Linked DNA regions of Notamacropus eugenii. The protein of the gene in region 1 purifies or fractionates together with the protein of each later gene. This does not show direct contact. Links are inferred from orthologs where the notes say so. Each region holds a gene or a part of one and is shown on either strand. Other genes may lie near its edges. The genes, in order: PTPN1 and ABCD3.

What was found.
Region 2: the proteins of PTPN1 (region 1) and ABCD3 purify together in Homo sapiens (affinity purification with mass spectrometry; 3 studies listed by BioGRID and IntAct, with this or other methods). This does not show direct contact. The link is inferred for Notamacropus eugenii from reciprocal best matches to the Homo sapiens genes PTPN1 and ABCD3.

The regions. Positions count from the first base shown.
Region 1 is NC_092872.1:516,306,000-516,321,247, forward strand, and holds the start of PTPN1 (tyrosine-protein phosphatase non-receptor type 1), read right to left. Parts: upstream 7,848-15,248; 5' UTR 7,608-7,847; coding exon 7,551-7,607; intron 1-7,550. UniProt on the Homo sapiens protein: Tyrosine-protein phosphatase which acts as a regulator of endoplasmic reticulum unfolded protein response. Mediates dephosphorylation of EIF2AK3/PERK; inactivating the protein kinase activity of EIF2AK3/PERK.
Region 2 is NC_092873.1:269,763,601-269,778,609, forward strand, and holds the start of ABCD3 (ATP-binding cassette sub-family D member 3), read left to right. Parts: upstream 1-9,112; 5' UTR 9,113-9,228; coding exon 9,229-9,365; intron 9,366-15,009. UniProt on the Homo sapiens protein: Broad substrate specificity ATP-dependent transporter of the ATP-binding cassette (ABC) family that catalyzes the transport of long-chain fatty acids (LCFA)-CoA, dicarboxylic acids-CoA, long-branched-chain fatty acids-CoA and bile acids from the cytosol to the peroxisome lumen for beta-oxydation.

The DNA.
Region 1 (15,248 bases):
AACCCAACAACTCTAGCAGAAGCTATTAAAGACTAAATTTATTTCTGTATAATCCACAAGCAATATAAAAGTAGAGATATCTGCATTAGTAAAGAAACTCCCTTTGCAAAATGAGAAACTGAGGTTAAAATTTCAGCATTAACATTGTGAAGAGGTGAGCTAGTAAAAGAAAATTCGTCTATTTACAGAAAATGATCAATTTAATAGATCAATGAAAGAAAGTGACATTCTAAATAGCATTTAAAAATTTAAAACTAACTGGTTCTGGAAAACTACTTCTGTAGGTACTGGCAGCCATCCACTAAAGCCACAATCTAGTAACTTATCCTCAAGTATAGATGTCTTTCCTTCTACATGACAGACAAAAAATCTCTCTTCTGTTGAAAGAGACTTCAACTGAAATTAGAAAGCACACATAAGACAGCATTATACAGAACCTCAGCTTTACTTCAAGAAGGATACAGAATGAACCTGTGATTTCACTGGTACTTCCAGTGAGTTAAATCCCTCCACCTCCAGGTACACTTCTAGGTTGGTACCTTCTTTGCAACTTACTAGTATTAGAGCACATTCCCAGAATGCTGAGTGCTTAAGTGACTTGCCCAGGATCCTTGCCAAGGTGCCAGTATTTATGCCAGAAATGGACCTTGAACCTAAGTTTTTCTGGCTTTGAGGCTAGCTCTTGATCCACTATGCTACTGCATCTCTTTACTTCATAGTAAGGTCAATTATCTATCTACAAGTTGGCTAGCATCATCAGTTATTCGTACATCAGGAACACTAGCAAATTGATGTATATATTAGGGACTCAAAAGTTTATAATTCCCTTGATTAACGGTGGGGTATTACTGCCCTCCTACCAAATCCTAAGAACCTGTGAACTTCATATGCTGGTAGATTCTTTATCCTATAGGCCACTAATAGATATGAGATTTTCTGAAGAATTAAATTCTATCCAGGTGGTCTCTGGATGACTGGAAAACCAAATTCCCATTTTTGTAGCTTAGATTTTTTTTTAAACCAATATCACAATCACAAAGAGCTGCACACTGAACTGCTTCCATGCAAAGACAGTCATTATTATAGCAGAAGTGGGCCTCACACTACTCCCTGACAATTAAGAAATTTTGCATCTGTAGTTACAGAAAAAGTTTTCTACGGGGAACAGCTTGCCCTATTGTCAGAACAATCCAAGTGAATTATCTTTATTAGGCACTTATTAGGTGATCTTTATTAGGTATTTTCTACAAAAACATAGCAAATTATTTGCAAAAATATCACGCGCTTCATATTGATTTTATGTCAGATGATGGCTTTTCCCAAAATTACAACATAAAAACATAACTCTACTGTTCTTTAAGTGCCAAGCAGATGTCTTTGGTAAATTCTGAAGAATCAGTTCCTCAATCTTTTACAGGAAAAGCCACTCAGATTCTACTTAGGCACAGGTCATGCATGCGACTAAGTTATGCTGCTTGCTCATGTTACTAAAACTACTTTTACTGGAAGGGATAATGAAGCTTATTTGTTTAGAAACTTTTTGCAAAGATAAAAAAAAAAGTATTAAAAATAAGTCTTGAGCACTGGCATAAACCTAGGTACATCCTAAGAAGGAAAGTACTATTTTAATTCTACAAGGATTTTTCCAGTCCCTTTACAATCTATGAGATATCACTAAACAGTTTTAGAGTTGAAAAGGAACTTAGACCTCAGTTCTGGGCAAAGAAAGTAATCTAACACCTTACTATACAAATGAGGAAACTGGGGCCTCATGAAAGGAAATCAGTTACCCCCAAGTTCACAATGTCAATTACTGGCAAGGAGGGAACTAGAAGCCAAACTTTCCAATTCCAAATCCAGTGTCCTTTTCATTGCCAGTTAATATTCCTTAAAGTGCTACTGGGTACAGAATACTATGCTACCTGTTGGGGGAGATAAGATGGGACCTAGCCTCTGTTTCCCATTTTATATCAAAGAAACAAACACAAATCACTTTAATAGACAATATCATGTAAGGGCATTAGGAAGGTACAAAGTGCTTTCTGAAATTCAGATTTGGTTACCCTTTCTACTACATCACCTTGAATATGCTTAAGACTGGACTCCTCACTGATTCAAAAGATTATTTATTCTGAGGTTTCAGAAATATTTCTCAGAGCACTGTTTTGTGAAAACATAAGACATCTGTAAGATGTTAAGATGTATCTAGTTTTTGGAGATGTGGATAGATTTGATGCTAGTAATTCAACAAATATTTTGAGTCTACTATGTGCATAGCTCTATAGCACACTGAGACCAAATCTAAAAATAACATCATAAAGTTACAGCATGATTCAGAAGTTGATAAAAAGACCAAGACGTTCCACTTCCCATGTGACAGTTAAATTCATCACAAGCCAAGTATAAATTTACTGATGGCTTCTAAGAAACAAAACAAGCAATTCCAAATTCTTGCATATATACAAGTCCTTTTCAAAAATCATTATCATACATTTTTGTATCCTCCTCAGAATCTAAAACAATGTATGTGCCAAGTAGGTGCTCAATAAATGTCAATACAAAATGAACAATAGGACATAATAAGATTTTCTTTTTGGCACAAAGGGGGGAAAAAGCTTATTCTCTGAAATGTCCCTCCTGGGAGAATACAACTGGTATTATGCAAAAAATAAGAAGCTCTGGGTTTTAGTCTTGATTCCATCAATCATGTGGGTAGCTAGTCATTTCCTCTCTCTGGGCCTATTTCTTGATCCACAAAACGAAGGGGCTGTACTAAGGGAACGGGGATGAGGGCTTGGCTGGGTACAAACCTGAAGAAACAAACCTTGGGCAACTTACTTAACGTCTCTAGGTTTAGAGATTTTTCATCTGTAAAAATGAAAGGCTGAACTAGAGAAACTCTAAGTCCTCTTTAGTTCTAAGTCTAAAATCCTAAGATCTCTCCTAGCTCTGAAATTCTAGGTAACTAAGAACTTACACAAGCCTATGACAAATTAGAATATAAGAACACATTGTATTATGTCCCTATTTTCCTCCCTGAGTGATGATCTGTATTCAGGCTCTATTACTGCTAAGGAAGCCGGCACAGATGCTGCCTAGAAATCTTAAATCTGATATTATAAAATACATTTTTCCTTAAAATCAAACCAACTCCAGCACCAACCTCACTGAACATATCACAGTAAAGGAATTTCTGTAACCTACTTGCTGAAACTAATTAGGATAAACTCAGAAGCAATTTAACTTGACATTGTAAGGAGAATGCCAACTTATGCAAGAGGTCTATGTTTTCACAAAATACAAATGACTCAATATACACACTTGTGTCATATACTGCAGCTTAAAGGAGTAGTGTCAAAATAGGACAGTGCGAAAAATCTCATATACTAGAGGAGAGGGGAAAAGCAATTTATATATCCAAAATCTCTAATGGAAGTTTCCTATTTCTTTATATAAAGTATGCAGTAAAATAATTCAACCGCATTATTACAGGGCTTAGTAGAGCCTTCATATTAAAAAGAAAAATTCAGTTACATGGGCGAGGGGGTGGAGAATCAGGACAATGTCACAACTGAAAACGATTTTCATAATCATTGTCCTCTGAATGTTTCTAGGAGTCGCTGTCAGAGCTTGCTCACTTCCAAATGTACCAAGGCATTCATTCCTATAAATATGTCAGTGATGTCAACTGAATAATGGCACTAAGTTATTCTCCTCTCCACCATATCTGCTGGTGCTTCCAATTAGCTCAAAATACCGATGATTATAAGTGTTTTATGCCATCTCCAAAGTTATGGACAATTAAAATTAGTTCTTGTTTTGTTCTAGTCTAAATACCATTTAGAATTAATAGGTCACTGAAGATGATTAAAACTTCTTATTCTATTCATTTCATCTTTTTAAACAGAATGACAAACATGTCATACTGTACAGATTCTTTTCTATTTTCCCCCAAAGTACTACTTCCTTGTAGACAATGTTCTTTAAACAAACAGTATCATAAAGTTTTAATATCCCATCCCACTGGAGTATCATATGCCAGATATACATAACAGTATTAAGGAATTTTAGCGAGACATTAACATATATTTTTGTTAAGGGTTAAATCAGTCATTAGGGCAGCTAGGTGGTGCAATGGATAGAGTGCTTGGCCTAAAGTCAGGAAGACTCATTTCCCTGAAGAGTTCATGTATGGCCTCAGATACATACTAGCTGGTTGACCCAGAGCAAGTCACTTAACCCTGTCTGCCTCACTTTCCTCATCTGTAAAATGAACTGGAGAAGGAAATGGGAAATCATTCTAGTATCTTTGGCAAGAAAACCACAAATAGGGTCACAAAGAGGTAGATACAACTGAAAAATGACTGAAGAACAAATAAAATCAGTCATTAACTCTCCTATATAGCTAGTTTCTGCTTTTTTTTTTTTTTTATTAAAGCTGGCAATCTGGGTGAACTTGTCTATAATGTGCAATAAATCCTGCCTTTAAGCCACTGGCTATTGTTTCATAAAAACTGAAACTATAAATATTGTAACAATAATTTCATTTATACCACAAAATGTATATGGACTGTGTCTTACTGGATATCTTTTTACTAATTTTTTTTACTCATTTCAAGACCTCTTCTACCTTCCTTCAGCTCTTTTTCCAAGACCAGTGTTTCTTTTCATGCTTGTGCTCTTCTAGTCTCACCAGCTCAATCCCATTAGGTATGGCCCAAATAGCATTCAATTTTCCCAAACATGATATAATTGCTTAAATGCTAAAGAATGAATTTTAAATACTGCCCCAATATGCTATTTATCACCAAGGTAGTTTTTTAGTGTGAATGCTTATTGATATTTGTACTGTTGATCAACTTCAAAATTCCAAAGCATTGTTTACACCCTACCAAACGGAATGAACACAGACTGTTGCTTGACCAAGCAGCTAAAGCAGGATTTCCCTGCCACATTAGTCTGAACCCAAAGAGAGACTTCTTCCTATTTCACATTTAGTCCTTTTTCCGTTATCTGTTTTTGTTCATTAGTAGAAAATCTGTTTTGCTTTTTTGGTGAGGAATAAAAAGATGCTACCAAATTTTAACAGTAACTTAATGCACTTAGCAAACTAAAAGTTAACCATATTTTCCAAAAGCAACAGAGCATGTTGATTTGCCCAGACCCATGATTTCATCAGGTTTTTTTTGGAACTTCCAGTACAAAAATTTCCTCCACCAGTGTAGATAAGCATCTACCTATAATTTGCGGGCTAAAACAATTTCTGGTGCATAGTGTTTTGTCTGGAGTTACACAATTATTATGTGTCAGATTTAAACTTTCTAACTCAAAGCCCAGCACCCTAATATGCAAGCCTGCCTCTCAGTTGTACTATTAAGAAATATTTTATAATAAAAATATAATGCCATGAAAATCTGAGATTCCTTGATTCTCCACTAACTGCTGGCATATGTTCTTTTCTACATTCTTGGGAAAATAATGGATTAAAATGAGTAGATATATAAAGATAAAAACTCCCTACTCTGCTAAGATTTAATAGATCAGTTTCATCTCTTTTTCTGAAACATCTTATCTTTTCCTAAAAACACCTTAAAGGTTTAGTTCTATAATAAGAAACAACTTAACAGTTTGCAATGGAGAAGAATTTTTAATTTTCAGGACAGTAAAAGTAAATATTAAGAGGTGAGGGAAAAGACTCCACACTTTTTTAAGGTCATAGAAACCACCTCCAGTATTGCAGCAATGCCAAAGAGGCCGGACGATCCTATTTTAAACCAATCACATAACTTTCCTAGTAGAAATGTGACAACCTTTTTTGAGGGTCTAGCATGGTTAATCTTTTAAAAGCTTCTCTTCTATGTTGACTAGCATCATTACTTAAACTTCACTAAGGAAAAGTTGGGATTTAATGATACTGTGCCCTAAGAAGGAAGGGTCTAACTATAAAGACAAATTCATACATTTATACATTCCTACATTTATACATGTATTTATACATCCAATCATAAACTTTAGTTACTTTTTAGAAGCAGTTTTGCTCTAGTCTTCCTATTAAAAACATCCTCCAGAAATTCGCCAGTTGCCAGTAAAATGAATTTTGTTTTCTTACAGACGTAATAAACAAGGAATCTAAATTTGGCATTCCTAACATCAAAGATTACAAAAGCCTGGCAATATATGAACTCATTTCCATCAAGAGCTGATACAAAAAAGAATGCTCTCAAATAAGGCAGTTGAAACAAATCAGAATAAAAGCCCTGGGCAGCCCAAAAGCCTTTTATCAGTCACTAACAGCTTAAAGCATTTTTAAAAAAAGGATTTCAAAATAGATTTTTAAACGCTAGCAGTAGAGCTCACAATTTGTTTTTGAGCTTAACTGAAGCTCAAGTCAAGATTGTTTGAAACTGAGTATGTAGGTTTCTCCCTTTACAAAAGGGGGCAAAACCCTCTTTACTTTCTGTTGTGCTAAGACACTATTTTATTAACCTTTATCCCCGCCCCCAACTCTCTTCCACACAATTACATTTTCTTTAGAAGAGTTGGCTACTAGTAAACTATCTCTTTTCATATTCCTGACCTAATACTTAAAAAAAACCAACTTCACTTATACACCACCACATCCTAAGCAGGTCATACAAGACAAGATATCAGCAGAACTAACCAAGTGCAAGGTGGCAAGTTTTGATTATTTGCCTTATAGATATGCAACTCATCCTAATTTAGTATGGATTAGAGGAGTTTCAATTTCCTTTTTTCCTCTTTTATGATCCTTGTCTGGAAGGCAATCTGTGATGCCAAAGACTGATGGTACAACAGGCCACTTCTCATAAGCTACCCTAGTAGAAAAGGGTTCTACCATCTTTGGGCCAAAACTGTGAAAGGGATTGAGAAAAGTGGTGAAAAGGGGAGGGAAAGCGAAAATTGTGATTTATCTTATTTCCGGGAGACAATAATCGAAGAAATTACCCTGGCATCCAAACCTGTTCCTGGGGGAGGTGAAACTGGGGGGGTGGGGGATTTGAATCAATCCCAGGAGACAAAGAATGGGTGTCTAGGAGATGGGGTCAGAGGAGATCAGATTTGAAGGTGAAGATCATTTTGTCCAGCCCCATCATTTTTACAGATGAAAAACCTGAGGCCCAAAGAGGTTGTGTGCATGTCAACCTAAGGACAAGTTAGGGGCCATGTAGGACCCAATTTTACAGGAAAGGATGTGGGACCTGAGGAACAAAGGGGGTCTTGGGAGGCTTACTAGGTCCTGGCGGGGGGAAGAGCACGCTCGCCTCCGAGAACAAAACAGGGGGGGATGGGGCGCCTGGGGAAGCACTGTCAGGATCTGCTGGGGGGAGAAAAGGACGAAAACCTCAGTCCAGTCGGACGTGAAGGCAGGGTCCGGGCCCAGGAAAGGTACGGGCCTGGGGGTGGCGGGGCCAAGGGACAACCCGTCTGGAGTCTGCGTCCCCAGCAGCATCCCCCGACTGAGGGGAGGAGATGATACTAAGGCCTCCCCGAGTCCGAGGAGCCAGTGCCCGGGGTCGGCGTTCCCGCACCTGGTAAATGGCCGCCCAGCTGCCGGCCTGGTCGATCTGGTTGAACTCCTTCTCCATCTCGAAGACGTCCAGGCCGGCGGGTGTGGCTTCTCTCTTCGTTCCCGCTGGTCGGTCTCCTCCGCCGCCGGCGCCGCCGCCCTCCACCGCCTCCTCCAGCTCTGGGGCCGCCCTCCCCGCCACCTCAGACCCTCCTTAGCCCTCAACCCCCCGGGAACCGGGCGCCGCCGCTACCGCCTCCTCAACCACCTCCGTTGCCTCTTCATGTCAACCCGGCAGCCGGAAGTACGCACCGCGCCTGCCTCAGGCCCCGCCCCGGGCCGACGGCCAATCCTCGCGGGGGACTTCCGAGGGAGGCGGGGCCAGAGGGAGGTCCCGAAGGGTGGGGGGGGGGACACTTCCCTTTCTGCCTCCTTGCTGCGCTTTCGTCAGGTCCCGCGAGACGTCGCGCTCCGAGCTCCCCTTCCCCTCCCCGTACTCCCCGGACTTCCGGTGTAGCGAGCTATGAGCGCGCTCGCGGTTACCTAGGCGACCCCGTGGCGGCCACCTGGCTTCGGTGTCCTCTTGGGCGCGTGCCCTAGTGTGTGGGTTGGTAGATGGGGTGCCAAACTTCCTGACTCCCTGCGTGACTTGAGATGAGTCAGGTGCCCTCCCACTTGTCCAGCCTCAGTTTTCCAAGGTGTGAAAGGGAGCGGACTCCCAGATCCGCTCCAACAACAGGCCCTTTCAATTACTGCTAACTTATTTTATAAAAAAGGGCGGAGAAACTGGGTGCAGGTCAGTTAGCGTCGAATTGGAGGGGCAAGACCCAGAAGATCTGTCGCAAACTGGCTGTGCGCCCCTGGGGCACTCCTCTCTGGATCGGTTTACCTCTCTGCATAACGAAGGGGTTGGCTGCAGGAGTTAACCGTAGCCGGCCAAGCCCTTCAGGTGCATCATCCGATGCTCCCGCTCTCCCTGGGAGGCAGGCGCTATAAGCATCATTCCCGTTTTGTAGGGGACACGGGCGCACTCACTGGCCAGGGCCCCTCTGTCCTCCCCTCCTCCCCAGCAGTGCTTGCAGCCCTACGGAGAAGCCCTCGGCGGTCCTGGGAGGCCTGCCTGACAGTAGTAAGTCAGTTCTGCCTTGTGGCAATTCCGTATTTTCTGATAGGTAATTTGGTGACGGGTTAAAAAGCAACACTGCTAGAGGAAAGGGTCCCAGGGAGTTGATTGAACCCTGTCTCATTGATCCAGCAGTCAATGAGCCATTAACCAAAAAAAAAATTCTTTGAGTAGTTGACATTGTAGAATGATGGCTATACACTTCACTTAAAGCTACCTTCTACTCCCTAATCAATGCCAGTGGAATCCTGGCTGTGGGCACCATGTACTTCGTCATGGATTTTTCTGTTCCACCTACCTGAAGGCATGTTTAGTAATTTTAATCAAGACTCTTTGCTCCTCTGCCTCCACCCTGAACCCCAATTATTCCTACCCTTAAATTTCAAGTTGCAAGTGGAAAAACTAAAGAATGAAGTATATTGAGTACAACTCTACTTTGGTAGATGTCCCTGACATAGACTGAAGAAACTCCACTTGCCTTGTCTCACTCTGTCTGACATGGGAGATGTACCTTGAGTCACAGAACAATGCTTGTAGGGAGGGACCTTAGAGAGGATATAGTCTAACAACCTTAATTAACACATGAGGAAATTGAAACCCAGAGAGATAATTGATTCACAGATTTAGAATTGAAAAGGACCTTAGAGGTCATCAAGTACAATCTTTAATTTTACATCTGAGATGACTTGCTTAAGGTCAAAGCCAGACCTGGGCTTAGAATCCAGATCTCCTCACTCCTCGCTTTAGGGAATTTTTGTATTATGCCACAATCTGATGAATAGCTTTCTTAATAGATAGTTTTCAGGCCTTCCCTGTTTTCATGTCTCCCTGTCCCCTTTTATTTCCTGACATGGATTCCTATAAGTCATTAAACCCCATTCAACTTCCTTCCCTACCCTTAAGTTTCACACACACCCCCACCAAAAAACAAACAAGCAAAAATAGTAAGTTCTAGCATTTGACATCTTTATCACTCAACTTTTCGGAGAGAAAGGTATTGACAAAAAGAATATGAGAGTTTAGGGAGACCAAGAAGTCACTACATGTTATTCTAGGGAGGTGAGTATGTGTTAATGAGATGCAGACCCTAAGTGACCATGGTCACTTTGGTAGTAATAAAGACAGAGCTGCAAATGATAATTAGAAGTAGTTATGTCCCCCACCCTCCCCTTTTCTGGAAAGGGAAATAAGGGAAGGCAAAAGTGGATTTACAGAGCAGAAGAAATAACAATTGTCCCTATATCATAAATTCAGGATCAAAAGGGATGTTAGAGGCAATTAGAATCTACTGCCCCTATATACCACATTTTACAAAGGAGGAAAATTAGGCCTACATAAATTGAATGTCAAAGGTTTACAGTGAGTAAATCCTGAGCTAAGACAGGATTTGAACACAGTTCTTCCTGACTCCAAGGCCATTGATATATCCACGTAAGCTACTCTTCACTGCCTCTAAAGTAAAAGGGTTCCAAGGCTCTATTTTGTGTTATACATTATATAATGTAATTGAAGGTGGTTACTTGTAAGTGTTGCCCCAGAACCCCACTTGCATTTTTAAAAATTTTCTTTTTGAAAAATTTTGCAGTGTCCCATAGTCTGCAAAGAAGGGAGGTAGGTGCATTCTCATATTTCTTCTTCAGGATTAGGTTTAGTCATTATAATTAAATAGTGTTCAGTTTTGATTTTTTTTTTCATTTCCATTTCCATTGTTGTTGTCATTACATTGTTTTCCTGGTTTTGCTTACTTTACATTGTACCAGTTCGTATAAGTTTTCTCATGTTTTTCTGAATTCTTCATATTTCACTAGTACAATAATATTCCCTTGCATTCCTCTACCATAATTTGTTTAGACATTCCTCAATTGATGGGTTTCTGCTTTGATTCCAAGACTTTGCTATTGTAAAAAGTCCTGCTATAAATAGTTTGGAGTATATTGATTCTAGTTCCTGGCAAAAATTTTAGAACATTATTTCTTAAATGGTTTATGAGCACTTAAGGAAGTGATCACTCTGAGCCAGCAAAGGGCACAAGCAATGAGAGTCTAACTTCATCTCCTCTTTTTGATTGTGTTACTTGACTGATAGATAAATATGGTGTGTAGACAGGTATTCCTGTTTTCAACAAAGAATCATGGCACAGTCTCTCAAAATAGGCTTGTGAGCAAGAGAAAAAAAGTGGGCTGGACAAATATAGTTAGATGGAATCGCAGACTGGACCCAGAATGGTGGTGATTAATGGATTTATATCAAACTGGAAAGTGGTCTCGAGTACTCCAGGCATGTGTCCTTGGATCATTAAGCACTGTTATCAATGACTTGGATGAAGGCAGAGAGGGCATACTTACAAAAGTTGCAAATAACATAAAGAAGGGAGACATAGCTAACACATTGTATACCCTAATTGGGTTTGCAAGATACCTTGACAAGCTACAACGATAGACCAAATGTAATAAGATGAAAATTAATAGGAATAAATGGAAGAATTCCATGTTTGTTTTTTAAAACAAGTCAGATATGTAAGCACAAGTTGGGTAAGCCTTGGGTAGATAATAATCAATGTTTTTAGTGCAATGCAAACTTAACATGAGTCAACAGTTTAAAATGTGAACCAAAAGAGCTACTGTGATTTAAGTCTACATTAATAGAATCATTTGGAATATGGGAGTTGATAGGGCTGCCACATTCTACTCAGAACACTTCAGGAATACTGAGTTCAATTCTTGATGCCACATTTAGGAAGGCCATTGATAAGCTAGAGAGAATGAAGATGGCATAAAAACCATCCATACATATGAGGTTGGTTGCAGGAACTAGGGAGTTTTAACCTGTAGAGGAAAAGACTTCGGTTGAGCTTAACATGATAATTATTTTCAGTTTAAAAAAAACATTTAAATGCCTTTTATATAGAAGACATGCTACATGCTAGAGATAGAAAAACAAATAATTAATGCTCATGTTGTGGTTACATTTAACTGGAAGGATAAGCATATGATCCTAGGATTTCAGAGCTTAAAGAGACCTTAGACATCATATCCAAAGAGAAGTAACACAAACACACAATTCAGAAGAGAACTTACTAACAAATGGGGGCATCAAAAATTTGAATAAGAATTGTCACTTTAGTTGAGCCCTAAAGAGAAATTTGAAGAGGCAGAAAAGAGTTAGTTGATATATGCCATGATAGGGCATGTTGAGTTTAGGGAAAAACAAATGCATCAGTTTGGCTACAATATAGACTATGTGGAGGGGAATTATGGAAGGAAATGGAAAGAAAGGTGAGAGGCAGATTGTGAAGGACTTTGAATGATAGGCAAAAATTTTGCATTTTATCTTCAAGGAATCCTGGAAAATTTCTTAGTAAGAGTTGGATATGGTCAAAACTTTTTTTTTTTTTTTTATGGATTAGATGGATTGGAGAAGAGGAGATCATAGAAGGAGGGAAGCCAAATAGAAGACTTGCTGAGAGATTAATTTTGATTCAACATAAGGAACAGCTTCCTAACAATTACAGCCATAAAAAAAGTAGAATGAGCTTCCTCTTGAGGTTAGGAGTTCCTTATCACAAAATCTTTAGGCCATTTTTCAAGGATATTGTAGGAGAGAATCATTTTTTTCTATGATTCTTTACATGTGCCCTTATTTTCTTGCCAGTTTCTCATATTGCTCATTGTGGAGTATTTAGCATTTTGTCTTTCAATAAACAGGTACAGTCCTATAGTAGTATTCATATTGGTAGTAGAAGTAATAATGGTTACAGCATCAATGAATGATATTAGTAACAGTAAGGGTGGCAGTAGTAGCATGGTCAAGAGTCCTGGTGATAATGGTATTGGTAGGAGTAGTAGCAATGATAATGGTAGTATTCCCAGTAGCAGTGTTGGTAGCAGCAGTACAATTGTACAGATAGCAGTGATGGTAATAGGAATGATGGTATCAGCAGTCATAATAGTAATAGTGGCATTGTTAGCAGTAGAATTGGTATCATTGGTGGTAATTGTAGTAATAGCTAGCATTTATGTAGCAATTTAAATTTGCAAAGTGTGATATATATTAATTTACTTGATCTTCACAATAATCCTCAGAAATGGGGTAAAATCTCCATTAGTATTATTTCCTGGATAAGGAAACTGAGGCAGACAGAAGTTGAGACTTGCCTGGACTCACACAGCTAGTAAGTTTCTAAGGCCACATTTGAACTCAGGGCTCTATCCACTGTCACCTAATTATTGGTAGGTGGAATAATGGTAATGAGAGAAGGATGATGTAGTAGATAGCGTGTTCCATGTGGAGTCGAGAAGACCTAGATTCAAAGCCTGCCTCTGAAACTTATGGATTATGTAACCAAGGGGCAAGTTGATTAATCTCTCTGACCCATAGTCTCCTCATTTATGAAATGGGGATAATAATACCTATAATATCTATCTCATAGGATTGTTGTGAGGCTCAAATAAAGTGCTTGACAAAAGGGCTATCTGTATACATGTTTTCCTTATACAGGGCTATTCAACAGTCTTCTACAGTTTTAAGCTATTAGAAGCTTAAACTTTTATTTAAAAGCTACTAAAAACTGCGCTAAGACTTTTGAGATACCTTGATAGTATTATAGGATTGGGAGCAATAGCAGCAGCAGCACAGTATTAGAACACCTGTGACTGGGCAAGAACCTCCTGGCATCACTGGTATGAAGAATGGCCTCTTTTGCTGAAAGTAGCTGATAGATTTGAGCAGTTGAGGTGCCAGCTGTAACTTGCTGCAGGTTATAAATATTTCTCATAACAACTGATAATGCAGTGAAACTAAGAAGTTCTCTAGAAGTGAGGCCTTAAAAAAAGGAAGACAGAAAAGGGAACCTAAAGTGTGACATATCAGAATGATGGGGGGTGAGGGGAGGACAGAGAGGAAGGGGAGGAAGAAAAAGATAGCATTTGTTTGCCACATTTGTACCACAAAAAAGTTAGTTTAGCCCACAGTCACTTAACCATCTTGTCAAAATTTACATAGGGGTTTTACGTGGTGAATTCTGTTGAAGACCATATGCTATTACCTGATAAAAACCACTGCTTTGAAAATGCTAGGGTCAGTGATTGCTATAGATCTTTTGCTAGTATTGGCACCAGAGTTTCATTTTCAAAAATATATATCTTTGGAGACACATAATATACTTTCAAAGATATACCCCAATTTTAACTACTATTATGGTAGTGGCCTTCTACAACTATGGGTAAGCTTGTACATGCATTTGAGAATTGAGAATTAGATTTCCAAAAATACATCCAAGGAAGAATTGCTGAGCTACTGAAAATGCTCAAAGCAAACTCCAAATTAAACTCATTTTTAATCACTTAATGTCCAAGTGTCTGAGCAGGCGGCCATCCTTCTCTCTCGGTTCAATTTTTTCTACTGTGGACATATTTGATATATTGACCAGGTGATATCAGTATTCTTATGGCCACTTCACAGATGAGAAAGCTAAGGATGAGAAAAGTAAGTAACTTGCTCAAGGTCTTTTCTAGAGGTAGTGAATAATTTAATCTTTCCAGGGAGAAAAAAAAAGACCCTTTACATGTTCTTTATATCATAGCATTTAGATCTTGAAGATACCTTGGAGATCGTTTAGTCCAGTCCCCCACTACCCCCTCTTTTTTTTTTTTTAACAAATGAGAGAAATGAGGCCTAGAGAGGTGTAAGTGACTTTTCCAAGTCAGATAGGAAGGAGTACAGCTAAATTTCAAATCCAGATCATTTGACCTCAACTTCACTTTTCTTTCCATTATATCCACATAAGGTACTCCAATAAAGTAAAACCTAAAGAGCAGCATAGGATGGTGAAAGAGCATTGGATGTGGAGTCTAAAACCCCATGTTCACACCCTGAACAGTCATGGCTGACAGCTCATCATTGCCATAGCTCACCTCTTTCTGCTCTCATTGCTTCTCCTAACTAACAGAACTCAAATGCCTTTTCCAGATTAGTGAACAGTTTTATTTCTGAAGTTCAATTCTAGTTTTCACAGTGGGTTTTGTTTTTTCTACCCTTGATTGAGGTTCAGGGTTATTTTGGTGCATATATGTGTGTGTACACACACACATATATTTCAAATACTGCCTCTGAAACCTAGCGGCTGTGTGACTCTAAACGATTCTCTTAACTTCTCAGGGTCCCCAGGCAATCCTAACACTCTAAGTGATAGATAAGTTGTTGGAGGAATTTTCTCACAATGTGAGTTCCCTATAGCAATAAAATTATAGGTCTATACCTATTTATATATAGTTGGTTGTTGTCCTTTATTCTCTAAGAGGACCAAGATGACATCACTGTGTTGGGGTCAGGGTACAGTGTGTCCAGCTGTGGCTGATCAGACCAACTAGAGCTTGAAAGACTCTATCACAGATTGGCACAAGTAGTCCATATGAACATTTGGAGTTGAGATGTCTCTAAATTTGCACATTTCACATTTCCTTTGAGCTACTGTAATTCTGCTTATAGAGCACAGCACCTTCTTTGATGAGGGCATGCCATGCTGGGCAGTGCTGTGCTACTGTCTCTGTTGTCACACAATTAGTTCTCAAGTTCTTCAGAGAGACAATGAGAGTACCA
Region 2 (15,009 bases), on another chromosome or scaffold:
AATCCTTCAAACCTATAATCCTCAATTAAGCTTGAAAGAAAAAAAAAACAACCTAAAGCTAAAGGACTGAGGAAAAGATGCCAATTCTGAACTAACCCTTAAGGGATCACTGATTAAGCATGAACAGAAGAAAGGATATGAAGAAACCCAATGAAAAATTCAATTTTATTTCTTGAGACTTGTTTTTTCTAAAAGTTAAGATCTTAACAAGCAAAGCAGTAATGGTTCTCGAATATTTTATGGGGGGGTGGGGAAGGGAGAAATTCTCTCTGTGTAGAGTTTCAGTAGTGGGTATTGTACATTGCTGAGAACACATTGTAGTCCCTTCCAAAAAGGAAAACTGTGAGTCTGCCAAAAATCCTTCTCTGAGCTTCAGATTTGTTTCAAGTTACAGAACCTTCTTTCATACTTTCACAGTAACAATTTCGTATATAAAATACTAAGAATAACCAGTGGAAAACAAAGTACAGTAATAAGATGCTAGGAGGAATAATGTTAGACTCAAATAATGTAAGCCTCGGGAACAATGAGGCAGGCCCAGAATGTCTCAAAATATCTTCCTCTATGGGGGTGGGGAAATGGAATAAAGTCGTTCCAGTTATACATTTAAAGAAAAATGATAGTTAACTTATTAAAATTATTTAGCTATATTATCTCTTTATACCTATCTATTTATTGTTTCCTTCATCAGAATATAAATTTCTTGAGAGTAAAGATGGTTTCATTCTTTGTATATGTACATGTATCTCCAGTGCCTGGTTCAGCACCCAGCTGAGTCACTGAATATATATTGGTTGGTTGCTGTAAATATAAATTATAAAACTGTGTTTATATTATTTTTCATATTAAGAAATAAAATTACTTTTAAAAACAAACAAACAAAAAAAGAAATAGCTGTCATGTGGTCCAGAAGTACATACCATAGTACCTGTTCCAAAGTCCTTTTTCTTTCAGGTAAAGATTGATTTCTATAAAGATTCTACAAGGAATGCAGTCATTCCTTCAGGTAAGTGACTTTCTCAGCTTGGTACTTTTTCTGAACTTAAATGTTCAGAAGTACCACATTAAATGTGGGTAGCCAGATGTGATGGAAAAGAAAACACTTGACTGGCTTGCTTTGAAGATTTGCCTGGAAACTATTTTTATACTCAGGTTTCCTTTAATCCTCAGTTCTAATGACTTTGTTTAATTCAGCTTAACCTGTCACTTCCTGTCCCAAGTGTTAGACTCATTTTGGTTCTTGATTCTGAACCAGACCTCACTTAAGATGACTATTTTATATGACTTGGACCAATCTATGATCACTACTAGTTAACAAGATCATCATATAATTTTTTCTAGTATTAACTCTCTAAACTGGCCTGGTATGGCCATCAAAACAGCTGTCTTTTACAGAGAACTTGAAAGTTTGCTAAGTACTTTATTATTGTTGTCCAGTCATGTTGGACTCTGTGATCCCATTTTGGGATTTCCTTGGCAAAGATCCTGGAGTGGTTTGCCAGTTTCTTCTCTAGCTTGTTTTACAGATGAGGAACCAAGGCAAATAGGATCAAGTGACTTGCCCAGGGTCACACAGCTGAGGACAGATTTGAACTCATGAAGTTGAGTCTTCCTGATTCCAAGCCCAGTGTGCTATTCACTTTGCCACCCAGTTGCCAAGCACTTTATACACACGTGATATAGTAGATGAGGCATTGGACTTTGAGCCAGGAAGGTCTAGGCTTGCATTATATCTCATATGCTTACTAGTGGTGTGACCCTGAGCAAATACATCACTTAATCTCTGTGAGCTTCATAGGACCTTAAGGTGAAAGGGACCTCAAAAAACCATCTCATCCAACTCCCTCATTTTACAGATGAATTATCTGAGGGTCCAGAAAGGTTATGCCCAAGGTCAAACATTGTAAGTGTAAGCTAGACTTCAACTCAGATCCTAAGTTCAGTGTCCTTTCAGCTGTAGCATAATGCCTCTTTGAACTTCCTCATCTATACTACAGGAATAATAATAGTACCTCTCTCACATAGAGTGATTTCAAAGACCAAATGAAATAACCATAAAGTGCTTTGCAAACCTTGATCTCCAGTCATCCAATTACTGTGGATTTTGTGGGAAAGAATGTAATATGGCAGGTCTCTGTGCAATTAGGGTTATATTATCTACTAATAGGAGCATTTGGAAAACCTTATTCATAGCGTGGAATCTTCCTCCATGACCTTAGCAAACATTGTAAGGTAAACTGTGTTTTATACCTTGTTTGTTGTTAATACTCACTGGCTTATTGAATCAAGTGATCTCTGTAGTTTCACTTGTCAAAGGATATTATATAATTTTAAAATAAATTTGAGTGGGAAGTACTTTGAGAAGAGTCTTCAAAGCTGCATTTTGGTAAACTGATGAAACATTAAAAATACATATATTATATATATGTTTTTAATGTATGTTTAGATATTTGATATATATTTTTAAACAGGCACCTACTGTTACAAAGAAGTTAATTGATGATACATTTGTTAAAAGCTAACTTAGATCTACCGTGCCTTAGATGTACTCCCAAATCAAATATGTCAACATTTAATGTTGCTAAAACATCACTCTGTTAGAGTCAGTGAAGTATAATGGCAAGTGTGGCAGACTTAGAATCAAGAGACTGGGTTCGATTTCCTGGTCATCTCTACAATATGCTTCCTCCATCTCTGTAATCATCCCCATCCCCATCCCACATGATTCTTGTATTCCAGCCCTGGAACCGTACTGGTCTCTGAAGAGGGAGGGGAGATTTTTGCTTCATCTTATCCAGAGGCAGGCCTCCCTACTACTTACCATATAACCCACTTGAGCTTCCTTTCATGTGCTATGTTCCCTCATTAGAAGGTAATCTCCTTGAGGTAGGGGACTATCTTGTTTCTTTTTATTTATATCGACATCCTTCATCACAGGGCCTGACATAATGAGCACTGAAATGTTCTGTCTTTGTTCATTGGTGTCTATCATCCATCCATCATCTATCTACTTATCTATCTATCTATCTATCTATCTATCTATCTATCTATCTATCTATCTATCTATCATCTGTGTCTATCTAATATATATTAGCTCTGTGTCTATAGGAAAGTCACTTAAACTCAGTTAAGTACCACAGTTTCTGCATCTTTAAAATTGGTAAAACCTGAAATCTGAAATGTTTTCCTCCCATGGCTGTTATAAGGATCAGATGAAATAATGTAAGTAAAGTGCTATAATCAGTGGCATCAAATTCAAATAGAAAGAGGGGACAATGATCCATACTTAAGGATACATGCAGTTGCATATTGATTTAGTTTTAAGATGTAATCTTATTTGATTACATTTTTATTTATTTTATTAAATATTTCCCAATTATATTTTAATATGGTTCAGGTGGCAGTATAGAGTTTTTGGAGGGGGGTGGTAATTTATACCTTGGTGCTATATAAACATCAGTGTTTTGCTCTTTTTGGTTTTGGCTAGGACCTTTGATTTCACTGGCATGAGAAATCTATTTTGGAAAGTTCTATTAGACAACAATAATTTTATTTTTTGTTCAGACCTATGATTTCATTGGTAAATGAATCTCCCACTGGGGAAACTATCTCTACCAAACATGACTACCAACTACTCTGCAATTTATAGTCTTAGAGAGCTGTCTCCTGTACTAGGGAGTTAAGTAACTAGCCTAAGGTCATACAGCTAACATATCAGAAGGATTCAAATCCAGGTATCCATGACTCAGAGGCTACCTCTGCCACATTACCATTAAAATTATTACTACTGTTGTTACGACAAGAATAATACTACATTATTTGTAATCTTATATTATCTAGGCTGATACATCACTATTCACATTTTGGGGATTTTTTTCACTTCTAAAGAGCGTGTCTGCTCTAGTCTTGTGGTAGAACATCCTTAATGCAAAGTATGGGAGCTGCCTTGAGAACAGAGACTAAGGGGGGGTGCTATTACATCAACTTTTTCCCAGTTTGAGCTTCAACTCAGAAGCCTGGGAAACTCTTTCACCTGAGAGATAAGAATTGTTTGGTAGCTCTAATTGCGGGAAAGTTTTTCTTTCTATTGTGTCAGAAAATGTGGGAGCCTAGTGGTGGGGAAGTACCATTTCTCAGCTTCTCTGCATTAGCAGGTCATGACAAGGAACACTACAGAGTGGTAGGGTAGCCAATCTCCCTGGCACTAACATTTGGAGGTCACTGAGCAAGGCATGAGAGAGCCTGGGGGATTGGGGAGGTGGTGGGTAGTGTCAGTGGCTGATGATTATACTTCTTAGAACAATCACTGGCATTGTGTATGTAGGAAGCAGGGCTGGTCCATTAGTGCTGTTGATTCTTCTGAGGCTGCTGTTGTGGTTCTGCTAACAAAAATTTGAGAAAATATGACTAGGTACTACTTAGGAACTGGGGCTTGCCCATGGGTTAATCTGTTGTGTGAATAATTGTGTGGTTCTCTATGTATTTTATCCATAAGTTGGAACTAGAAGGGAAGATTTTTTTTCTATGTGTCTATCTGAGAAACTGGAGGTGTCTGGGGAGCCCCCACATGTTTTGTCTGTCAATGGATTGAGGAAGTAGACTGAGGAGAAAGATATAGGTAGCTAGGTGATATAATGGAAAGAGCGTTGGACTTCGAGTGAGAAAGATATGAGTTCAAATATTATCTCAGGCACTTACAATTGGTGAGATCCTGGGCAAGTCAGTTAAATTCTATCAGTCTCAGTTTCCTCAAGTGTAAAATGGGAATGATAAAAATAACACCTATCTCATAGGGTTATTTGTGAGGATCAATTGAGAAAATATATGTAAAGAACTTTGCAAACTTTAAAGCAATGAATAAGCATGAATTGTTATTAAGACTGAATCAGTTGTCATCATCCCAGGAATGGTGTTAGACTGATCACAGGCTAGGTTTAGTGGTATGCACCTGAAGAAACCTATGGGTCAGGCAAAATAGCAGTGCAGCAGAGTTACATGGCATATTGGGCTGGAATTTTTCTCTCTACAATTTCCATTCATTGATCCTATTCTGCCCTTTGAATTACATAGAATAAGTCTACTTTCTCTTTGGCATATAACAGCTTCCCAGTTTTTAAAAGACAGCTGTTACATTCCCCTCAAGTTTTTCCTTCTTTATACTAAATACATACCCTTCCCTGAAAGATGCCTCATGTATTAAGTGACATCTCTGGTATAGTACAAAGAATACTATATGTTGAGTCAGAAGACTTGGGTTTGAATGGTGGTTTTTCCACTTACAGCCTGCTGCATATTGGGTAAGTCACTTGACCTCCTGAGGTCAGTGTTTTTCACTTCTAAAATGATAGCACTGGACCACATGATCTCTAAGGTCCCTTTCAGCTCTAAATCTATGAGCCAATGGCATGCTTTCAAGATCCTTTCTCATTTCTATCACAGTCCTCTGGACACTATTAATTTGTCAATGAGTTTCTTATATGATTATCAGACTAGGTACCATAGTTAAGGCATGATTTTACTAATGAAAAGTATAGTTGAATTATTACCTCCCTTGATCTGGACACTTTTTAATTAATAAGCCTCAGATTGTATTAGCTTTTTTAGCATCATGCTGACTCATACTATGCTTGTGTTAAACTAAAAGTTCTAGTTTTTCTACATGAATTACTGTCAAAAGAGATCTCTATCATACTCTATTGATGTAATTAGTTCTTTGAAACTAAATTCAGGACTTTGTATTTATTCCTTTGAAATTTCATCTTATTCAGTTCAGCCCATTAGTCTAACTTATGAAGATACAATTGTATCCTTTTCACTAATTTAACATTATCTATTTTGTATCATATACAGAATTGATTAGAAATCTTTCTAAATCTTCACCTGAGTCATTTATAAAAATAATGACTAGGTCATAGACAAAGTCCTATGGCATGATAAACATTCTTTCTGGACAGTTGTTACCAATGAATGAACTACGAATCTACCCAAATAAGTACTATTATCTAGCCCATGTTATTTAAAAAATAAATTGTTTTGCCAATCAATCAAAAAACAAGCATTTATTAACACAAAGGTGAAATTGTCCCTACCTTCAACGGGGGAGATAATACATAAAGATGAAGGCATGTAGAGAATATATACAAAGTAGTGATATTAGAGAGATGCACTCAATTGAAGACAATTTCAAATGCCGGAGAAATGTTATCCTTGGCTTCCTTCAAAACAGAGTTCAGGGATCGCCATTTCTTGGAGGCCTTGCCATATTTCCTCTCCCCCATCCCCTCAACTCTAGTTGTTTATGCTCAACATGTCCTAGAATTACTTGGTAATTTTGCATTTATTTATTTATATGTTGTATCCTACAAATAGAATGTAATCTTCTGGAGGTCGGGAACTGTTTTACTTTTTTGTCTTCATATCTCCAGGACCTAGCCCAGTGCTCTGTGTGTGTATGTGTGTGTGTGTATGTGTATGTAGGTGTACATATGTCTATATATACATATAGTGAGTATATGTTACATACATAAACAAATACATAACACACACACGTATATTTGTATATAGTGGGTTCTTAACAAGAATTTGTTAAATTGAAGAAAGCTAAGGAGTCCAAAAGGCAGAGGGGAGGATGGAAGATATTACAGGCAGGCAGGGCAGCCCCAAATGACTTGGGAGACAGTAAGTAGGTCAGTTTGACCTAAGGGCTACATCTTCCTCCTTTCAGTTCATCTCCAAAACCCCTTGATCTCATTGCTCACACACTCTTCCTTTCCTCTAGGCTCTGTTAATGGAGTAGATCTTGCCTCTCCACCTGTACCTTGGAACCCATCTCCTCTTGTCTTCCTTAGCAGACTGTGTCCTTAAAACATGCCTGCTCCCAATGTTTAAACTATCTTCTAGTTGCTTCACTAGACCCTACCATCACTTCAAAACACTGCATGCCATCTCTCCTCCCTTTCTCAGACTTCTTGTTGTTTCCATTTCCTCCTTAAGTCTTTGCAGCCTGGCTTCGGACTTCACTGCTCAGCTGAAACCTCTCTTATGAACTGCCAAAGCAAATGGCCTCTTCTCAGTCCTTAACGTTCTTTTTGCCTCATTGGATACTGTTGACCACTCGATGGTCTCTGGACACTTTTGCCTCTCTGGGTTTCTTGATATGATTCGCTCCTAATTCTTTTACCTGTCTGCTCCTTCTCAGTCTTCTTTGCTGCCTTATCAATTGAACCACACCCCTGACCTGTGGGTGTTCCCCAAAGCTCTATCCTGGGTCCTCCTTTCTTCCCTCTCCATACTTTCTCTCTTGGTGACCTCATCTGTTCCCATGGATGTAAACAATCATTTCTATGCATATGACTCCTAGGACTATATATCCAGCCCCCTCTCTCTCTCTCCTGAGTTCTTGAGACAATAGGGAGCCATTGAAACTTCTTGGGCAAAGGAGTAAGAAAGTCAGACTTATGCCCTAGGAAGTTTATTTTAGTGATTATGTGAAGAAATGGCTAGAGAGAAGCAAGAGTGGAAGAGAGACTAATTAAGAGGGTATTACATGGTTCCTCCTTACCCTTCCCATATTCCCTCCTCAGTAGTAAGACAATGAATAACAAGGGTCTTTAGTATGACAAACTTCTTTACTAGAAGCATGAAGATATATATGGACATAAACATCACAGGCAGGCAGTTACAGGCAGGGGCAACTGACAATGCAGTCCAATTATGGTGAGCAGCTTACTGTAGATATATATCTCTACCTTGTCACCTGAAATCACTCCATTCTATAGCTCTACCAAGAAGTCTGAGCTCTTCTTAGTTTCACGCTGTAGCAAAAATTCCCTGACAATCAAGGGAAGCAGTATCCAGAAGAGACAGTTTTGGTGCCAGGAAGAACCGAATTCAAGTCCTACCTGTTGTATACATCTTGCCTGTGCAACCCTGAGCAAGTCACTTAAGTCTCAGTGCTTCAGACAACTCTTTAAGATTGTAAGTTTCTGCTCTTCATTGGTAACAGTTACCTTTATCAACATAACCACAAGCTCTGTCCAAAAAGACATTAGCTAGGTACCACTGAAGGACCAGGTCTCCGTGGCTCTTCCACATCTCTATCCCTTAGTGCTCCATAGCTCTGGTTCTTGCTTGGGTCAGCTCTTTTGCCATTCGGACTCACTCACCCACTCTCAATCCCCTGAAACTCTGGCGGTATATCTGTTTAGAACTGCTTTATCCTTTGCCTCGATGACCACTCCTCCAGGTCTGCCTACTCTAACCCTTCTCGTTCCATCTTGCTTCTGGCTGCTAGGGATCAGGGCCAAGCATATCACCCATCCTGCATTTAGCAAGACTGGAGAGGTGGGATAAAGCAAGGGTGACCTTTGTTCTACATTCTTGGGCATCCAAGCTGTCATGCTCCCTGAGTGTGCAGTCCTTTCTTAACTGGATGAGGTGTTCTTAAGCTTGCGGTCCACTATCTTCCTTTTCCCCACCCCGTTCCCCTAGGTTAAAAACTACAGCCTCCCTCGGAAACTGCTGGGACAAAGAAGGCACTATTCCATCTGCGAAGCCTTGGTCGCTTCTTGGAGGAGGGCAAGGAAAACAACAAGGTGCTGGGGCTACCTTTGCCCCATCTCCTCCGCACGCAAATCTGTAGTGGGGTTCACAGGAGACCACAAGGCAGACCCGTGTCCTCTTAGCCTCTTTCTCGCGGTGTGTGGGGTGGTACCTGGGCTGGTACAGGTGTGGAGAGGTCAGAGTGAATAGGTAAGGCACACTCAGCCTGTGCGTGCTCTTCCAGTTCTTAATGACGCCTGGGGAGTAGGAAGGGAATGTCGGGATGGTGGGGAGACAGAGTGGGAGGACGTTCGGGGAGGAGAGGTTCAAGTTCAGCCCGCTATAGCAGGCAAACAAGCGAGAGAGGTGGGCGCAAGGAGGGCGAGGCGAGGGCTTCCCAGGAAGCGAGCGCAGAGGAGGCGTGGCCAATGCGGCCGCGGGGCGGGGCACCAAGTGAGGCTAGGGCTTCCCAGCAGCTACGAGCCGGACGGGGGCGTGGCTAAGACTGGCGCGAGGCCGCGCGCGAGGCAAGGCGAGGGGCGGGCTCGCGTGGGCCCACCCCTCCGCCCTCCTCCCCCTTTCCCTCAGGTCTACCCAGGCTTCCCAGCCTTCCCCGCGCTTCCTCGGCTCGGGCAGTCGCAGCAGCGGGCGCGCGTCCCCGTCCCTGTCCCCGGCTCGTTCCGTGCTATGGCGGCCTACAGCAAGTACCTGACGGCGCGGAACTCCTCGCTGGCCGGGGCCGCCTTCCTAGTGCTCTGTCTGCTCCATAAGCGGCGCCGCGCCGCGGCCGCCGCCGCCTTCCGTGCTGGAGGCCCGCAGCACGGGTAAGCGGGACCCGCCGCCCCCTCCTCCTCGGGAGTCTGCCTCGCGCCCCCCCGCGCCTCCAGTCCCGGCTTTGGGGTCCTGCCAGGGCCAGCCTGCACTCGCTCGACGGGTCCCGCTCCCCGCGGGCCTCTGGGATTTGGGGGGTGGGTAGGGCTGCCCTCCCTTGACGTCCCCTCTCCCGTGCTCCTCCCCCTCCGCGCTCGCGGCCCTTTCCTCGCCCCAACTTTCCAGGGCGTCTTCGGCCTCCTCTCCCTGTACCCCGTGTGTGGGTGCAGGACCTGGCGCGGTTGGGGGCCCCGCCTGGGAGCCCCGCAGCCTGTGTCCGGGGCTGCCCCCGAGCTCAGGACAGTCAGGGGTCCGCCCCAAACCGTCCAGGAGGAGGGCGAGTCTGAGAACTCCCTTTGGAGCCCCTTGGCAGAGTCTGGTGGGAGAGCGATTGGTGCCCTTGGTCCGTGACTCGTTGTCGAGAGCGGCCGAATCTCGGGCCAGAGCCCGCGACGGAGCGGGCCGGGCCCTCCGCGGGTGCTTTCCGACTTCCCTGGCCTCAGCCGGTGAAGGGCGTGCAATCTCTTCCGCCGGCCAGGTGCAGGATCCAGGTCTCCTGCGCTCGGCTTCCCAGGCTTTCCTCCGGCAGATTTCACTTCTATTTTTAGGGTTCGGGAAACTGGAGGAGAGGGGTTCGGGAGTCGGCTTTGGTCCTCCAGAAGACGTTAGGCTTCTGTATATTCTTAGATAACCGGGTTTTTGGTGAAGTTACAGCCCAAAAGGCCCTGTGCCTTCCTCGGCATGTTGTGGGTTGGTTTGGTTTTTTAGTTACCATTTTATTTCATGAGAGCTGCCACCACTAAAATCTGGAGTATGAAGAAATTAAGTTTTATTCAATTGGAAGAAGTACAGCTAAAACTAGAGACCATGATAACAGCTGTTCAGTTCTATGCTATTAACGGTAGTTTCCCATAGGAAATAATTCAGAATTGCCCAAAAGACTTAGTGTGGTGAGAATTTTCACATTAAAAGGAGCATATTTGCGAGGGCAAAAACCTGACAACTGTTTTGTTAGGCACCGTAAGTAAAGCATACGTAAAGCAATTCACCGTTTTAAACTTAGTTGATTCTATTCCTCACCTAGAAATTTACCAATTAAAAAAAATTCTCAAATAAAAATATAATGTGACTTTGTATTAATATTCTCTCAGAGAGTAGTGCTTAAATAATAAGAATAAATGCGTTAATGTTTAGAGAGTAGATAACAGAATGAGATAGACCTTGATGAAAATTTTAGATATTTGATTGGAAGAACACTGGCATGTCATCATTTTTGTTAAAATCACACAAAATGACAATCCTTTCATTAGAAATTATGCAAAGCGTTTTGAAATTAAATTGGATTCTGGTGAATATATTTGAATAAGAAATCATTGCTTCATCATCTGTTGAATGGAAATAAAGAAGAGATTTGTAGGTCATTGATAAAATTGGGATTTAAAATAAAGAGAAACATGAAGCAAATGACTTTTAATCCTCAAAATATTTATAAGCTTGATAAAGATTTTAAAATGTTATTTTGGTGGAGGAGGTGAAATGGTCAAAACAGTTTTATAGGAATGGGACAGATCCTATGATTTCATTTGTAGAAATAACATTTGAATGAGGAAACTCCCTCTACCAAAGAAGGTCTTCACCTTCTCTGCAATTTAGAATCTTAGAGGGTTTCCTAGAGCACTGAGAGGTTAGAATCAGAAGGAGGACCTTAACTGGTGTTGTCTTGGTCTGCTCTCTCTGCCATGCCAGGATGCCTTTGTAAAGCTTTATAGGTCTACTGTGTTCCAAATTGTCTTAATTATCTTTCTGTAACCTGCTAAGACAAATGAACCTTTTGTATTACAGCCTGTGAAAATTGCCTGTTTAATAGGTGGAGTACTTATATTTAACTGTCCTTATGAATCTCTTTGATAATGGTTAATTAGATATATGTAAAGGTTAATCAAAACAGAAGTCCAATGGTCAAGCCTTTCCTTATTCTAGGCACTCAAACATGTTGGACACCAGAAGCCTCTGAAGTTGAGTTCTTGCAAAGTAAAGTGAAAACAGTTCTTTTGTTTAAGTTTAATCTTCCAGTCAGACCATTAGAAAATGAGCTGACTGGAAGTTGGCACCCACATAGAGCCTTTTCTATTGACCTGTAAGCCCTTCAAGGTACCTTGTCTTATCTAAAATTGTGTTTCCTTTAGTACCCACTTAGCACAATACTCCTATACACTAAGTGCTTAAGTACTTTATTGTTTTAGTTACTGTGGAGCATTTAACCCATAACTAGTTGATAAGAGAGCTACAGAAAATATGTAAATTATATGGTATCTCCTGCCTTTTGGACATTTTCACCTGGGTGATCTATGTAGTGCAGGGAACATACCTAAAACTGAACTCATTATCTCTTCCCTCCAGGCCCTTCCCTCTCTTCTAACTATTACTCTTCAAGATTACACCATCCTCTCAGTCACTGAGTCTCCCACACTAGGCATCATCCTTAACTCCTTACTCTCTTACATCCCCCTTCCCCAATATATAATCTCTTGCCAAGGTCTTTCAATTTTATCTTCATAACATCTCTTGTATGTGCACCCTTCTTTTTTTCTGAAACAGCCATCCCGCTACCCTTGCTAAAGTATAAGCTATCCTCATGTCTTAGCACATAACATTTAATTATGTCAATAAAACAAACATACAAAAAGTTTACAAATGTAAAGTAACTTATGATTAGGTAACAGTAAACAGTATAGATAATAAATGGTATAGAATTCAAGAGAGATCCATATAAGTGGTCAAGGAAGGCTTCATTAAGGAGGTGAGACTTGATTGGTGCCTTGAAGAAGGGGCAAGATTTTAGATATGTTTTTATATGGAAGAAATAAAATATTAAGGGTCATTCATTTGAGTTCATATTATGTTTATGAATTTTGATGAGAGGAAGAAGCTTTCTGTTCTATTCCTTAGACACTTGGAAAGATTATACAAAACCTATCAAGGTGATAGGCAGATTCATGTACCTCATTTAGGTTCTTTGAACCTAATTTGTAGGGAAAAACATTGATAAAGTATGAACAAGTAATCTGTCAGCTGTGAATGGTCATTATTAATTATATGGCAAAATTTTAATAGGATGGATTTATTAGATGCAGGAATATGAAATCCTAAAATACTTGGGTTTCTCCTCTATCTACCCTTATTCCTTCTCCAGCACCTCCATCCCCCAAATCCTTAATAAAAATGGTAAAATGTTTTAGAACATCTCAGAATAGCTAAACAGAAGTCAAGCCATGTGACCTGCCTTCCATGTTACCTTTTTCTTTTGGTTCTTGTACCTTTCTTACTACATACTTCTGTCTTCAGCCTGTGTAGATTACCCAAAGCTCAGTACTTGGCACTCTTTGTATTTTCCATCTTAGAACTCATTTGTAGAGCTTTAATGTTTTAGAGCTAGAAACTACTATAGAAATAATTTAGTCCTGTCTCCTTGTTTTACATATCAGGAAATGAAATCTAAGACTTTCCTGGCTTCAACTGCATCTTGTGAAGAACCTCTAGTCCTTTCATCTCCTACTCATTAGAATGCCCTCATTTGAGTAAGCTGTCAAGATCATCTTAAATTCATGACAACATGGCATAATGGAAAGAGCACAGACTCAGGAATCACAAGACCCAAGCTTTGCTCAGGCTTTGTCAAGTTGGAGAGTGAACCATAGGCAAATCATTTCACTTCTCTGGACTGCAGTTTCACTGTCTTTTAAAACGAAAGGATTGAACAAAGCAGTTCAGTTCTAAGTCTTGAGTGTAACTCTACAAGCATGTCATCTTTTCCTTGGAAATCAATGTACAGATTCCCTACAGCAGTTGAACTACTTTTTTCTCAGTAATCTTTGACTTTGCTCACTTTTCCCAAGTCTAACGTGTACATTTTGTCAGCTCTTACATTTTGATATTTCTCATTCATCTTTTCTTCACTGTCTTCACTATCATCACCCTCTTCTAAAGCCTGGGTAATTCATTGCTGGATTACTTTAGTAGTTTTCTAACTTGTCTTCCTACTGCCAGACTTTTTTTCCTCCTGTCTTCAGGCACATGTTTTTTCAGGGCTTACTATTTGCCAGGTATTGTGGTAAATGTCCTGGGGCAATTATCTGCCTTCGGGGGCTTATGGTAGAGTTGGAGATTTCACTTCATACCCAGCAAATTAGCAAAGATAGGATTGGTCAGTGATGGAAGAGGCAGGACTAAAGAAAGACAGGTATACTTCTACACTATTGGTAGAGTTGTGAATTAGTCTAACCAATTCTGGAAAGCAGTTTGAAATACATTCTAAAAGGTGACTGAAATACTTGACCCAAAGATCCCCCTACTAGACATATGTCCCAAAGACTGGTCAAAGATGAAGAGAAAGATCCCATATTAACCAAAATAAATGATTTTTGTTTTAGCAAATAATGAGAAATAAAGTAAATGCTCCTCAGAGTGGCTGAATAAATTGTAGTACATCAACATAGTGGAATGTCACGGTGCTGTAAAATGATAAATCGCAGAAATGCAGAATCAGAGTTGGAAGGGATCTCAGAGGCATATAGTTCAACCCATATATGAAAGGAATCCCCACTGTTACATAACTGACAATTGGTCATCCAATCTCTGCCAAAACACCTCTGAAGAGGGGAGAATGTAAATATGAAGAATTCAGAGAAGTAGATGATGGTGTAAATGAACTGATCTAGCCTGCAGTGAGCTGAACCAAGGAAAACAATATATGCAGTGACTACAACAATGTAAATGGAAAGAACAAAATAATTGAGACTGAATCTAATTTTAATGTAATTATGCTTTGTAATTAAAATTTTTTTTATAACCTAAATATGTTATAATGATGAAGCATGGTTCCAGAGAATAGGTGAGAAAATATACTTCCCTCCCTTCTTTGCAGAGTTGAAGGACTGTGGGTATGGAGCATCTCGTCTGCTTTCATATTCACTTCATGTGTTGGTTAGTTTTGCCAAACTTTTTTTTTTTTGTCTTTTTTATTCTTTTGTTACAAAGGATAGCTTGCTGGGGAGGGGACATTCAAAAATGAAGTTGATACAATAAAAGTAAGATCAATAAATATTAAGTAGTTTAAAAATATAGTTGGGGAGACAAGACAGACATGAAAAAGTGAAATGAAGTAAAGAGAGATTAATGCTATATGGAGAGTGCTCCATATATGTGTATCTTAAATCCTCATTGCATTCTTGTGAAGTAAGTGACCTCAGCAGTTTATAGAGATCCACAGTACTTAGAACTGGAAAGGATTTTAAGTTGTTTAAAGTATTAAAATTTTTTCCTGTCTTAACAAGCATCATAAACAACAACAACAACCCCAAAACAAAAAAGGACATTTCCGTTTAACAAAGTAGAATAGAAAAGGAGGTTCACACATGAGATGTAAAGTCTGTACTGTATACAACTTATTTCTCCTTTGGAAAGGACTTTAGAGAATATCTAATCCAACAATGAGAAAACTGAGGCCTAGGGATTACCTAGGGCTACACTGTAAATGACTAATGTTAAAGACAGAATATGAATCCAGATCCCTTCTTATTCCAGATCCATCCACTGCCT